Linked DNA regions of Canis lupus familiaris. The protein of the gene in region 2 purifies or fractionates together with the protein of the main gene of each other region. This does not show direct contact. Links are inferred from orthologs where the notes say so. Each region holds a gene or a part of one and is shown on either strand. Other genes may lie near its edges.

Region 1 (5,107 bases), on a different chromosome or scaffold from region 2:
TTCATCAAGCCTGCTTCTCCCTCTGCTGTGCTCTTGCTCTCTCTCTCTCTTGCTCTCTCACTCTCTTGGGAATAAATAAAATCTTAAAAAAAAAAAAAAAAAAGAAAGAAATTGTACTTAATCACGCACATCCTTATATAATTGGGACAGAGAGAATGTATTAGTCCTACTCTCAAAACTTACTGATTTACATTCCTGCCAGTAGGGATATATACTTTTGCCAGTGTGATTGTCCAAAAACTGAAATTCCTGTTTATCAGCCAGTTTATATGCCTTTGACATTTCCTCATGTTTTTTGCCTGTTTTTCAATTAGGCTTTTTTATTAAGTCGTTGTTTTATATGTATAGAAATATTTCTCCCAGGTTGTCTTTTGACTTTTAACTTGGTACATATATGTAGTAGTAGATTTTGTTACTAGTACATGTTACCTTAAATGTTCATGTAACTGTGTAAGCAAAGTCTTGGTTTACATTTTAGATTTGTCTGTGATGGCTGTTTAAAGAAATCAGCACGAACCAGGAAAGAAAATAAGTTTTCTGCTAAAAGTAAGTTTTAATTTTACAAGTAAATCCTGGCAATACTTCCACTGAAGCATAGTTAAAAATAAACCATGCAAGGGATGCGTGGCTTGTTCATTAGGAAGAGCCTGTGACTCTTGATTTCTGGGTTGTGAGTTTGAGCTCCACATTAGGTGTAGAGATTACTTAAGGATTAGGATTTGAAATGTGCAGGATAGGTGTTCTTTTTCCTACATTTCTTCATATTTAGGGCATTCCTAATTGGGGCTGCATGTGGAAATATGTCCAGAATTGCCATCCCATCAGTGATTACCTCAATTTGGTCCAAACTTTTAGTTGGGGCCTCTTTCAGACCTATCTCACTTGGGTGGTTGGGGTAGTGGTAGTCAAAGATTGTATCCTGGGGTGCACCTGGGTGGCCCAGTCAGTTGGGCAGATGCCTTTGGCTTGGGCATCTTCGGCTTGGGCATGATCCCTGGGGTCCTGGGATTGAGCCCCGCGTGGAGCTCCCTGCTCTGCGGGGAGCCTACTTCTCCCTTTCCCTCTGCTCTTCTCCCTATTTGTGTTCTCTAGCTCTCTCTCTGTCAAATAGGTAAAATAAAAATCTTAAAAAAAAGATTGTATCCTGTATACAGTCGAGATTATTGCATTATAATATTTGGTTTAATTTTGTGGATACCTTTGCAGTTTTTACTGACCTACAGATTGCTTTTTATTCCTATAAGGCTTCTCATAATATCCAACCATTGTTATTTTAAAATATCACTGCAATCAAGCCAAAGTGCATGTGGATGTTGTATTTTGTGACTTCTGAAATTAGAAGATTTTCCAAGTAAAAAGTTGGGTGGAAAACACCTAAAATTCACTACCATGTTTGCTTCAGCTGCGCATATACTAAAATTGGAATGATACAGAGATTTGTATAGCCCCTATGTAAGGATGGCACACAAATTCATGAAGTAGCTCCTATTTTTTAAAAAACGATGGTTTTCAAGTATTGATCACATTGCTAACTTTTAACAAAATCAGGTTATCCTATTTGGACGGAGAATACAAAAATGATATTTGATATTGAAGCTTAAGAGTTAACAATAATGAATTTGCACCTTGGCTAACTGCAGAACTTTTCACTTCTGCACTTCTAGGGTTGCCATCTACCAGGCTTGGCACCTTTCTGGAGAATCGTGTGAATGATTTTCTTAGACGTCAGAATCACCCTGAGTCGGGAGAAGTCACTGTTCGGGTAGTGCATGCTTCTGATAAAACTGTGGAAGTGAAACCAGGCATGAAAGCAAGGTATCCAATAATTTTCCCTTTTCTTCTCTTGTGGTTCTACAAGCACTTGACAGTTAATTGCTGATGATTCTGGTTTAACTGAGACCTCGTGTTTTTCTTTCCAATCTGGATTATGTAGGTTTGTAGATAGCGGAGAGATGGCAGAGTCTTTTCCTTACCGAACCAAAGCCCTCTTTGCCTTTGAAGAGATAGACGGTGTTGACTTGTGCTTCTTCGGCATGCACGTTCAGGAGTATGGCTCCGACTGCCCTCCACCCAACCAGAGGTAGGACTTGGCCCACTGCCTTCCAGTTGAGTGGGAGTTTGCAGTTCAATAGGCAAAAAGCATTGTGGGCAAGGAACTATTTGATGTACTTGCTTTGGAAATGGAAATGCAAACTGTGTTCATAGTAATAAGGAGGAGTATCAAACAGCCTGAAATGAGAAGTGGGAAGCAGACTGTTTTTCAGAAAATGGGCTTAATTCTTGATTGTGTTAGGTGCCTTGCCTGGGAGATAATGTGAAAGAATGTCACACAAGTAAAGTTAGGATATGGTTTAGAATTTGTTTCCAAAATAGTATAAAGGCCAGAATAAGAATGCTACCAGAATACACTTGGATCCATAAATACTAATACACTATGCTTCAAGCGCTGCTGGGTACTGAGGCTCACCAGACTCTCCTAAAGAGTGCACAGCCTAGTCATGTACTTAACTGTGACTGTGTGATGTGTATTATAAATGAGGTGAAAAAGAGCACAGAGGAGATTGTGTTTTTAGCCATATTAGTAAGAACTCCTTATGTGACTTGACATGGTTTCTTTCTCCCCACTTGATACAGGAGAGTTTACATATCCTACCTTGACAGTGTTCATTTCTTCCGTCCTAAATGCTTGAGGACTGCAGTCTATCATGAAATTCTAATTGGATATTTAGAATACGTCAAGAAATTAGGGTAAGCATATTGACAAATGCTATCTTTAAAAACAATGAGCTTAAACTAATTAAATTTTTAACTAATTACCACTGTGGTATTGTGGTGAAACTTAGATTAAAGCAGAGAGGTGACTTTGTTCCCTTTTCTCAGTGTTGCCAGTCGGACAGAAATGGATATGTTGACCCTAGTCATACTTATCCCAGATTAGTTTTCTTTTGTTCAGTTAAGGTGTTAGGTACAGTTTGATTGGAAGGTTGGTACTCATTCAGGGCCAGAACCTTGAACTGCAGTTGACCCTCTCATACCTAGGTATCAGAACCAAAATAGACTAGGGTCTGGAAATACTCAAATTAGCCTGATTCTTTACCTTCAGGGTATACGTGTGCTTGAGAACATTCACTACCGCACCTTGCAAGTTCTTCCTTTTATCACTTAGCTTTCTTCCATTCCTTGTTCCGTGTTGTTGGAATGGATCCATGTTCCTTTGCATTGTAGCTTTTCTTTTGTCTTCACATGCAAATTTGGGATTTGGGAATCCAGGGTTAGCCTCTAAGAAGAACTAGGCAATGTGACACCCATTGTAAGTGCTGTAGGTTAGGCCTGAATCTGGCCTAAGAATTTCGATCTGATTCTGGGTTGTACACTTGATATTGTCTTAGAAAAAAAATCATTGGTTTCCATATTGACTCCACGTTGTAGCATTCTTTCTGGAATAGATGATAAACTTTTCTCTTGAATATTCCCCCTCTTTGTGTTGTTAGATATACAACAGGACATATTTGGGCATGTCCCCCAAGTGAGGGAGACGACTATATCTTCCATTGCCATCCTCCTGACCAGAAGATACCCAAGCCCAAGCGACTACAGGAGTGGTACAAAAAGATGCTTGACAAGGCTGTGTCTGAGCGAATCGTCCATGACTACAAGGTCAGGAGGAATGGGGGGCGATGACTGATCCTGCAGCTCTGTATTCTGCTATTTGACTATCTTAACAAAAATCTTCTGTACTCCCTTTTTCAAACCAAGAAAAACTCAGTTTTAAATGTCTTAGATCAACAAATCTCTGTTTTAAAGATGTGATGAAAAACGTATTCTTAATAGCCATTCATGATTAGAGGGCATCTCATGATAAGAACTTGAACAGATAAGTTTCTTATCTGTTTTTACTCCTGGGGAGAAAAGTAAGAACTGGATGTTTTCCCAGGCAGCAGAGCAGAGCAGCCTGTGGCCATGCAGTTTCCAGTATTTGTGGTTTGGGTTGTTTTGAACATATTTCTCAGTCAGGGGATGGGTGATGGGAACAAGGCAGGCATTCCTCACATTGTATTGCATTGTGTCATCAGCAATAGTAAAGGCTGCGGCGTGATTGATGGGGCCTGAGCCATCAGTCCTCGCAGGAAGATGTCCCACTTGGCTTTATAAAGGCAGGTAACTTCCCTATCCTCACAGGCAGAGGAAAGACAGAACCAGAACCACTGACCTCAGACCTTGAGTTTTTACTGTTTAAGACTAAATGTCCCCCTGGGCCATGGGGCTTAGGTATAAATCTCTCTGCTGCCTTTCTTTCAGAAGACATTATAATCCTTCAGGTTTCTTGTGTCTGCTAGCTGTGACTGCTTCTGAATGATAAATGCTTCTTTAAAAAAAAAAAAAAACCAAATTCCTACTTGTACCTGGTATTTTCACAGGATATTTTTAAACAAGCTACTGAAGATCGATTAACAAGTGCAAAGGAGTTGCCTTACTTTGAGGGTGATTTCTGGCCCAACGTTCTGGAAGAGAGCATTAAGGAGCTAGAACAGGAGGAAGAAGAGCGAAAGCGAGAAGAAAACACCAGCAACGAGAGCACAGATGTGAGGGCTTTGCATTTTCCTTCCCAGCTTCCACCTTGATTCTCGAGTATAATCCGCCATCAGGCTTCAACTTTTGACTTGGTCTTAAAGCTTTCGGCGTGAAAGAGCTTTATTTTTTTTAATTAATCAATTATTTATTTATTTATTTTTGGAAAGAGCTCTTTAAATTGGTCAAGAAATAATTCTGTTTCAGTGGTTTTCAACCTTTTTAGCATCAGACCTCATTTTAACTGAAACCTTGGATTTCTGATAATGGAAAACAGAAGGAAACCCTGAAAAACTGATAGAAAATTAGCTACATAGAGCAGGAGGCTGGCAAAAGTACTTTCCATAAAGATTCAGATTGTGAATAATTGGGGCTTTTTTTTTTTTAAACACCACACCACTTTATAAGTGTACAGAGCATTCTGGGCCTTACAAAAACACACCTAGGTCAGAGATTGCCAGGAGGTTTTGTGAGGAGGACATTCTGAGGAGCTTTTCCTGGTTAGTAATTTTCTGATAGCATAGCTGCAATGGTCTCC
Region 2 (5,637 bases):
TAAGTTACATTACTTGATTCTCCTATTAATATCCTACTTCGAAGATATATTCCAGAAGGGAAATTAAAATGTTTTACTGGAGGCTTAGCAGTAAAATCTGCATATCTTATTTTTAAATGAACAAAAAATTATTTACATATAAATAACAACATAAAGTATCCCTGGGACTGTTGCCCACTGTACACATCATTTATTCCCTCATTAAAAAGATTTAAGAGTTAACATCTTTCATGCAATTCTCTCCAAAAAACAACTGCAACTTAAATCTGACTGCGTTGCTAAGAAATATTTAACCAGCACCTATTCTGAGGTTTCACGACACAATGGCATATAACTTCATTTTTAATTTGCAAATTATAAGGTTTAATCAAATAGCATGGCTGTAATCACCGGCAATGGATGAAATGCATTTGAGAACAAAAAGAAATACAAGGACAGAGCCAAAAGTGATGAAAATGGAAGATACCTGTAGTAGTATGGTGCTATCTTAAACACCTTTTGTTTTCTGTGAGTAATGCAGACTGCAGACAAGACATTTTGTGCTAAATAGCCCAAATCTGTTTTTCTAATATTAAACACAAAGGAAAAACACTGACAGCAAGCATGGTAAATAAATCCCTCCCTTGAGAATGAAAGCAGCAGACAGGAGGGGGCTGACATACATGCAGGAGAAAACTAAACACCATCTTTTTTCTACCTGCACAAGTTGCCATTTGCTGCAGCGATCGAGAACCTCTTTTCCTGTTGATTTCAAGTACCTTTCAGGATAGCTTTTTTCCCCCTTAAGTCATCTGTTGATATGCCTTATGAGTGTAATATTCATATCACGGGATCTTTAGGAGAAAAATCCATTCTTTCCTGTTCAGGTAAACATGTTTACAGCAGCTGCACAGACGCTGGGTGGTTCAGACTCACATGTCACACACATGTCGTCAGCAACAAGAAAAGCCCCTTTCTCCGGCGATGAACATTTTAAATAAGGTAAAAAAAAAAAAAAAAAAAAAAAACAAAACCAAAACCAGCAGCCCTTTCCGAACCAACTTACCTTTCATAAAGCCACATCAGCAACAGTGGCAACAGCTCAATATAGCACACTATTTGACGCTAAAACAGGAAATTAAAATTGCAATAGCCTATGCTCCGCTCCTTGCTGTAACAAGTCATCTCTCCACAATGACGATACCAAATATTAGTTATCAGTCATCATTAACAGACGTCTTTAAAATGCAAACGTTTATTTGAAGAACTAAAATCATTCACCAACGCAGTGATTTTAATGTCGGCTCAAATACATCAAAAATATTTTTACGATTGGAAGGAAACATCTTGAAACAGCTTAAAATCTTCGTATCTGCTTCTAGACAGGAAATCCCACACAAAAATCTAAAATTGCCAGGAAAGGTTACAAAACCTCGCGTTTCGCATCCCAGAGCGGAGGGAGGAAAGCAGCCCAGGAGCGGGGGTGGGGTGGGGCGGGGGGAGTGCGAGAGAGTTTGTACTGAAACACGTATTTCCTCATTTTCTGGAAGAAACAGCGATCCCATCATAGGCGCATTAATTTCCCTACAGTTAAAAACTCGTTTAAAAAATCCCGTGGGCAGCCTTAGGAGCCCCCGGGTCCGACATGCGCGTGTAATTCCTTATATAGCCTCGGCGCGGCCAGCGGCGGGCCGGTGCCGCCCATATTATACAAACAGGTACCGGGCGGCGAGGACCTCGCCCGCGCCCCCGCGCCCCGCGCCCCCGCGCCCCCCGGTCTCGCCCCGCTCGCCACAGGAACCGTCCAGACAATACCAGCCAGCAGACATGTCGCTGCCGCACGAGACGGAGGGAAAGCACAGAATCGCCCCGAGATAAGCAGAAATAGAATCAACTTACAACGTCTCCCCAAACTGGACAAGGCGACTGTGCAACAACCACCACATGTTCGGGTCTCGCTCTCTCTTGCCGTCCGTATCGCTGTCTCTCATTTCTTTTTAAGTCCGAAGTCAGGCCGAGGGGTGCGTGCGGCCCCGGCACCGCGGCGCCCATCGATAATCCCCGCAGCCGCAGCGAGGGCAGCGGACCCGCGCGTCCGTCGGTCCGTCCGCCCCTCCCCCACCCTCCTTCCACCCGAGACCGAGCGCCATCCCAGCTCCATTATCCGGCTTCAGCGCTCCGCGCGTCCGGCCCAGGTAACAACTTCCCCAAAAACCGAAAGAGAACAGCGAGGCGTTCGCACGGAGCCCCGTCCCGGCGCGGGGCAGGAGTGTCCCCCGGGGTCGGGGATCTGTCTGTGGTGCTTCCCGGCCCCCAAGACCAGGTAACAAGTCCACAAGCACGCCCGCCGCCATCCACGCGGCTCCCACGGCGGCAAGTAGGTGCCCGCTCGCGCCCCGGCCGCCCCGCCGCCCGCCAGCTCCCCCGCGGGGCTCGGCTCCGGGGGCCGGGCCCGGGCCGGGGACACGGGGGCCGGAGGCGCGGGGAGGAGGGGCGCTTTAGGGACCCGTCCGCCTGCGCGCCTCGCCGGCCGGTCACAACTTTACCGCCGCCGGCCGAACCCCGTCCGCCCGTCTGCCCGTCCGCCCGCCCGTCCGCCCGCCCGCCGCGCGCCCCGCCGGCGCCCGCGCACACGCGCGCACGGACGACACGCAGCCCGCCGCCGCCGCCGCCGCCGCCCGCCGCCCGCCGCCCGCCCTCCGCGCGCCCGCAGCCCGGCCCGGCCCGAGCCGGGGGCCCGAGCGACGCCGCCGGCCGGGGCCGGGCGCGCGGAAGCCACTCTGCAAGGGCAGCACCGGCCACAAGTTTGTTCCGCGGCTCCCGAGGGCCTCCGCGCCGAGGGAGAATAACGCGGAGGGGGCTGAGAGGAGGGGGAGAGGGGAGGCGCCGAGGGGCGAAGAGTGGGGAAAAGTGCGAAAAGAAGCAACAGCCGCTCCACCCGGGACCAGAAAAGTGGCGGCCGCGTCCCGGCCGCCCGCCCTGCGCCGGGGATGCGGCGGCTAACGGTCCAGGCGGCGGCAGGGGCGGCAGGAGCCGCTAGGCGGAGAGAGACCAGGTAAGAGACATAACGGTTCAGGGAGAGCGAGCGGCCGCGGCGCGGCTCCGGCAGCGGCGGCGGCGGAGGGGGGCACAGAGCACTACTTTCTACTTTCCCACTCCACTTTGCCCGTCCCTGCCCCGGCCGCCCCCAGCCCGGCTCGCCCCCCTCGCCCTCGGGGGCGCCCCGGCTGCCCGGCTCCCCCTGACTCCGCCGCTCCCCGGTCCCCTCCGCCACTCACCGTTATTGCGCCGCGGGTTCGCCTGCTTTCTGCGCTTACACCTGGGGCCATCCGCCATGATCCTCTCGCTTGTGTCTAAATGCTCGAGTCACCTCCTCCCCCTCCCTCCCCCTTCCCCCCACCCCTCCGCCTCCACCCCTCCCCCCTCCCCACCGCACCTGGTTTACGACACTCGCGGCTTTACGACATCACCTTCCTAACACCTAGAGCCGCTCGCTCTACGGCCGGAACCTTGTTGCTAGGAGAGGACGGTTTGCGGCGACCGTAGAAGCAGCTGAGTTTGAATGGAGGGGAGAGGGAAAAGTTTCCTTCAGGTGTTGGGGGACCGGGGAGGGAGCGTTGGGAGGCTGTGGGGACGCGGTCAGAAGGGTGGCGGGCGGTCCGAGTGAGAAAGGTAAAGTAGGAGGCTCAGTGGCGCTGCCCCTCCGGACTGGCCACACCCGCCGCGGCCGCCTGAGGTGCGGACGGGTCTGGCTGATCCCTTCAGGACCCGGTCCCCCCGCTCGGTCAAGGCTGGGCTCCGCGCCCACGCAGCGAGTGCTCGCTCAGCGCACGGTGGGGCGCGGGAGCGGGTTGTGCCCCAGGCCCCCGGGTGGTCCCCGGGGGCAGCGGGAGGGCAGGTGCGGGGGGCCCGGCGAGGGCTCGCGGCGTCACGAGGGAGGCTACCGGACCCTGACCCGTACGCGGACTCCCCTCCTTACGCGGACGCTCGGTTCCCCCCCCGAGCGAACCGGGGTGGGAAGGGACTTCGGGCAGATAGAGCTCGAGCTGCACCGAAAGACAGGCGAGCAATTCCGCTTGCCGGCGACAGCGGCGGTAAAGCGGAATGAATAATACGCACCCGGCCGCGGTCTCACTTCCTCCTGCGCTTGGGGCTCTCACCTGCTGTCACCTCGGCCGCCCCCGCCCCGTGCCCTGCCCCCCTCGGAGCGGACGGGGCCAGGATCTGACGGCGAGAAACCGGGGCTGACAGATGTGGCCTCTGAAACGGATGGATTGTTGATCTTATCTCCAGCCCCTGACTTTGTACAAGTTAGAAGATTTCCGAAATACCATAGACGTTAACACTCCAAATCCCGAAAAAGTCAAGTTCTCGGTGTCCGGTAGGATTTAGCTTCCCTTCCTCCCCCCATCCCCCACGTTTTTCCCCGTTCAGATGGGGAAATGTCTTTGGTAGCAGCTTCATGGAACAAAATGAGCTGTATTTCAAGTTGTAAATGAGGCATGTGAAAGTTACTGAGAAAGAGATGGAGGATACTGAAAAGTGACGTACGGCATTACCAGCACGGTGCTGTCACGTAGTAGGTGCTCACTCAACACGTTTACGTCTATGATTTTTGCCATACCTATGGCAAAGATTATGGTGTTAAAATCATCCTTTAAAACTCCAGAATTTTAGAAGATCCATTAATAATCTCTCCAAACCTTTCAACTGAAATAAATTTACATTTGAAGCCTGGTAATTTAAAATTAGAAAGTTTAATCCTGAATATAGATGAAATTCTCCCTTCCACATTTTCTTTGGCATTTTGAGAAGTGAATGCATTATTTATTAGGGCATGAAATGTGACTGTAAATATTCTTTGCTATACATTATGGCCTATACATCTACTCATCCTCAGTGCTGAAACTAGACTCATTACTCTTGACGAGTACATTCAGTCCTCAATTTCCTTAATTATTCCCTGTTAACAAATTGTGTATGTCAGAACCAGAACCATGTCCCTGTTTCGCTTGGTTCGGGTGGTAATTTTTTCCTGCCTTCTAAAAGCTGTACGGTGTTCTTCAGTTGCCTTCTGAATCCAGCAGTTCCCCCACCACCACCACCACCACACAACTCTTTTACAGGTACCCTAATTTCCAGTCCGGGAAAGCAAAACAAAACAACTTTGTACTTAGCACACACTACCTATTCCTGAACTTAGGAACTATTAATCATGTCCTTTTCTCTTTCTGAACCGTTTGTCCCATACCTCCCTAACTAAGCTTCGTTCAACGTTCGTCTTCACCTTAAAATCAAAGAAACAAAGGGACAAGTAGGTAGTCATTGTCTTCCTTATTTGAATGGTTACTGGTTTAGTTAGCTTGGCCTGGATTTTTTCTGTACCCCCATCACCTAGTGGAGTGCCTAGTTACATAGTACTTGCTCAGGGAAATATTTCTCAAATTAATATTCTTGATCTTTCCAATAGAAAGTGATTGTTTATCTGCCTTCATCACATTAGTTGTTAGGAACAGTTGAAATCATGGATATGAAGGCTGATTAGGGTCATTTATATCTTGCCTTATTTTGAAATTAATTGATGTTGATTTTAGTGTCTCCATAATGGTTTTCCCCAAGTGATTAACTCACTTCTATGTTTTAAATATGCACAGGAAA

The links.
Region 1: the proteins of ZEB1 (region 2) and EP300 purify together in Homo sapiens (affinity purification with western blotting; 5 studies listed by BioGRID, with this or other methods). This does not show direct contact. The link is inferred for Canis lupus familiaris from reciprocal best matches to the Homo sapiens genes ZEB1 and EP300.

Annotation. Positions count from the first base shown.
Region 1 is NC_049231.1:25,041,233-25,046,339, reverse strand, and holds part of EP300 (histone acetyltransferase p300), read left to right. Parts: intron 1-478; coding exon 479-546; intron 547-1,391; exon of another isoform or gene 1,392-1,493; intron 1,494-1,664; coding exon 1,665-1,815; intron 1,816-1,933; coding exon 1,934-2,080; intron 2,081-2,634; coding exon 2,635-2,748; intron 2,749-3,491; coding exon 3,492-3,657; intron 3,658-4,418; coding exon 4,419-4,583; intron 4,584-5,107. UniProt on the Homo sapiens protein: Functions as a histone acetyltransferase and regulates transcription via chromatin remodeling. Acetylates all four core histones in nucleosomes. Histone acetylation gives an epigenetic tag for transcriptional activation.
Region 2 is NC_049223.1:13,318,730-13,324,366, forward strand, and holds the start of ZEB1 (zinc finger E-box-binding homeobox 1), read right to left. Parts: upstream 3,375-5,637; 5' UTR 3,316-3,374; coding exon 3,258-3,315; intron 3,035-3,257; exon of another isoform or gene 2,839-3,034; intron 2,078-2,838; exon of another isoform or gene 1,879-2,077; intron 1-1,878. UniProt on the Homo sapiens protein: Acts as a transcriptional repressor. Inhibits interleukin-2 (IL-2) gene expression. Enhances or represses the promoter activity of the ATP1A1 gene depending on the quantity of cDNA and on the cell type.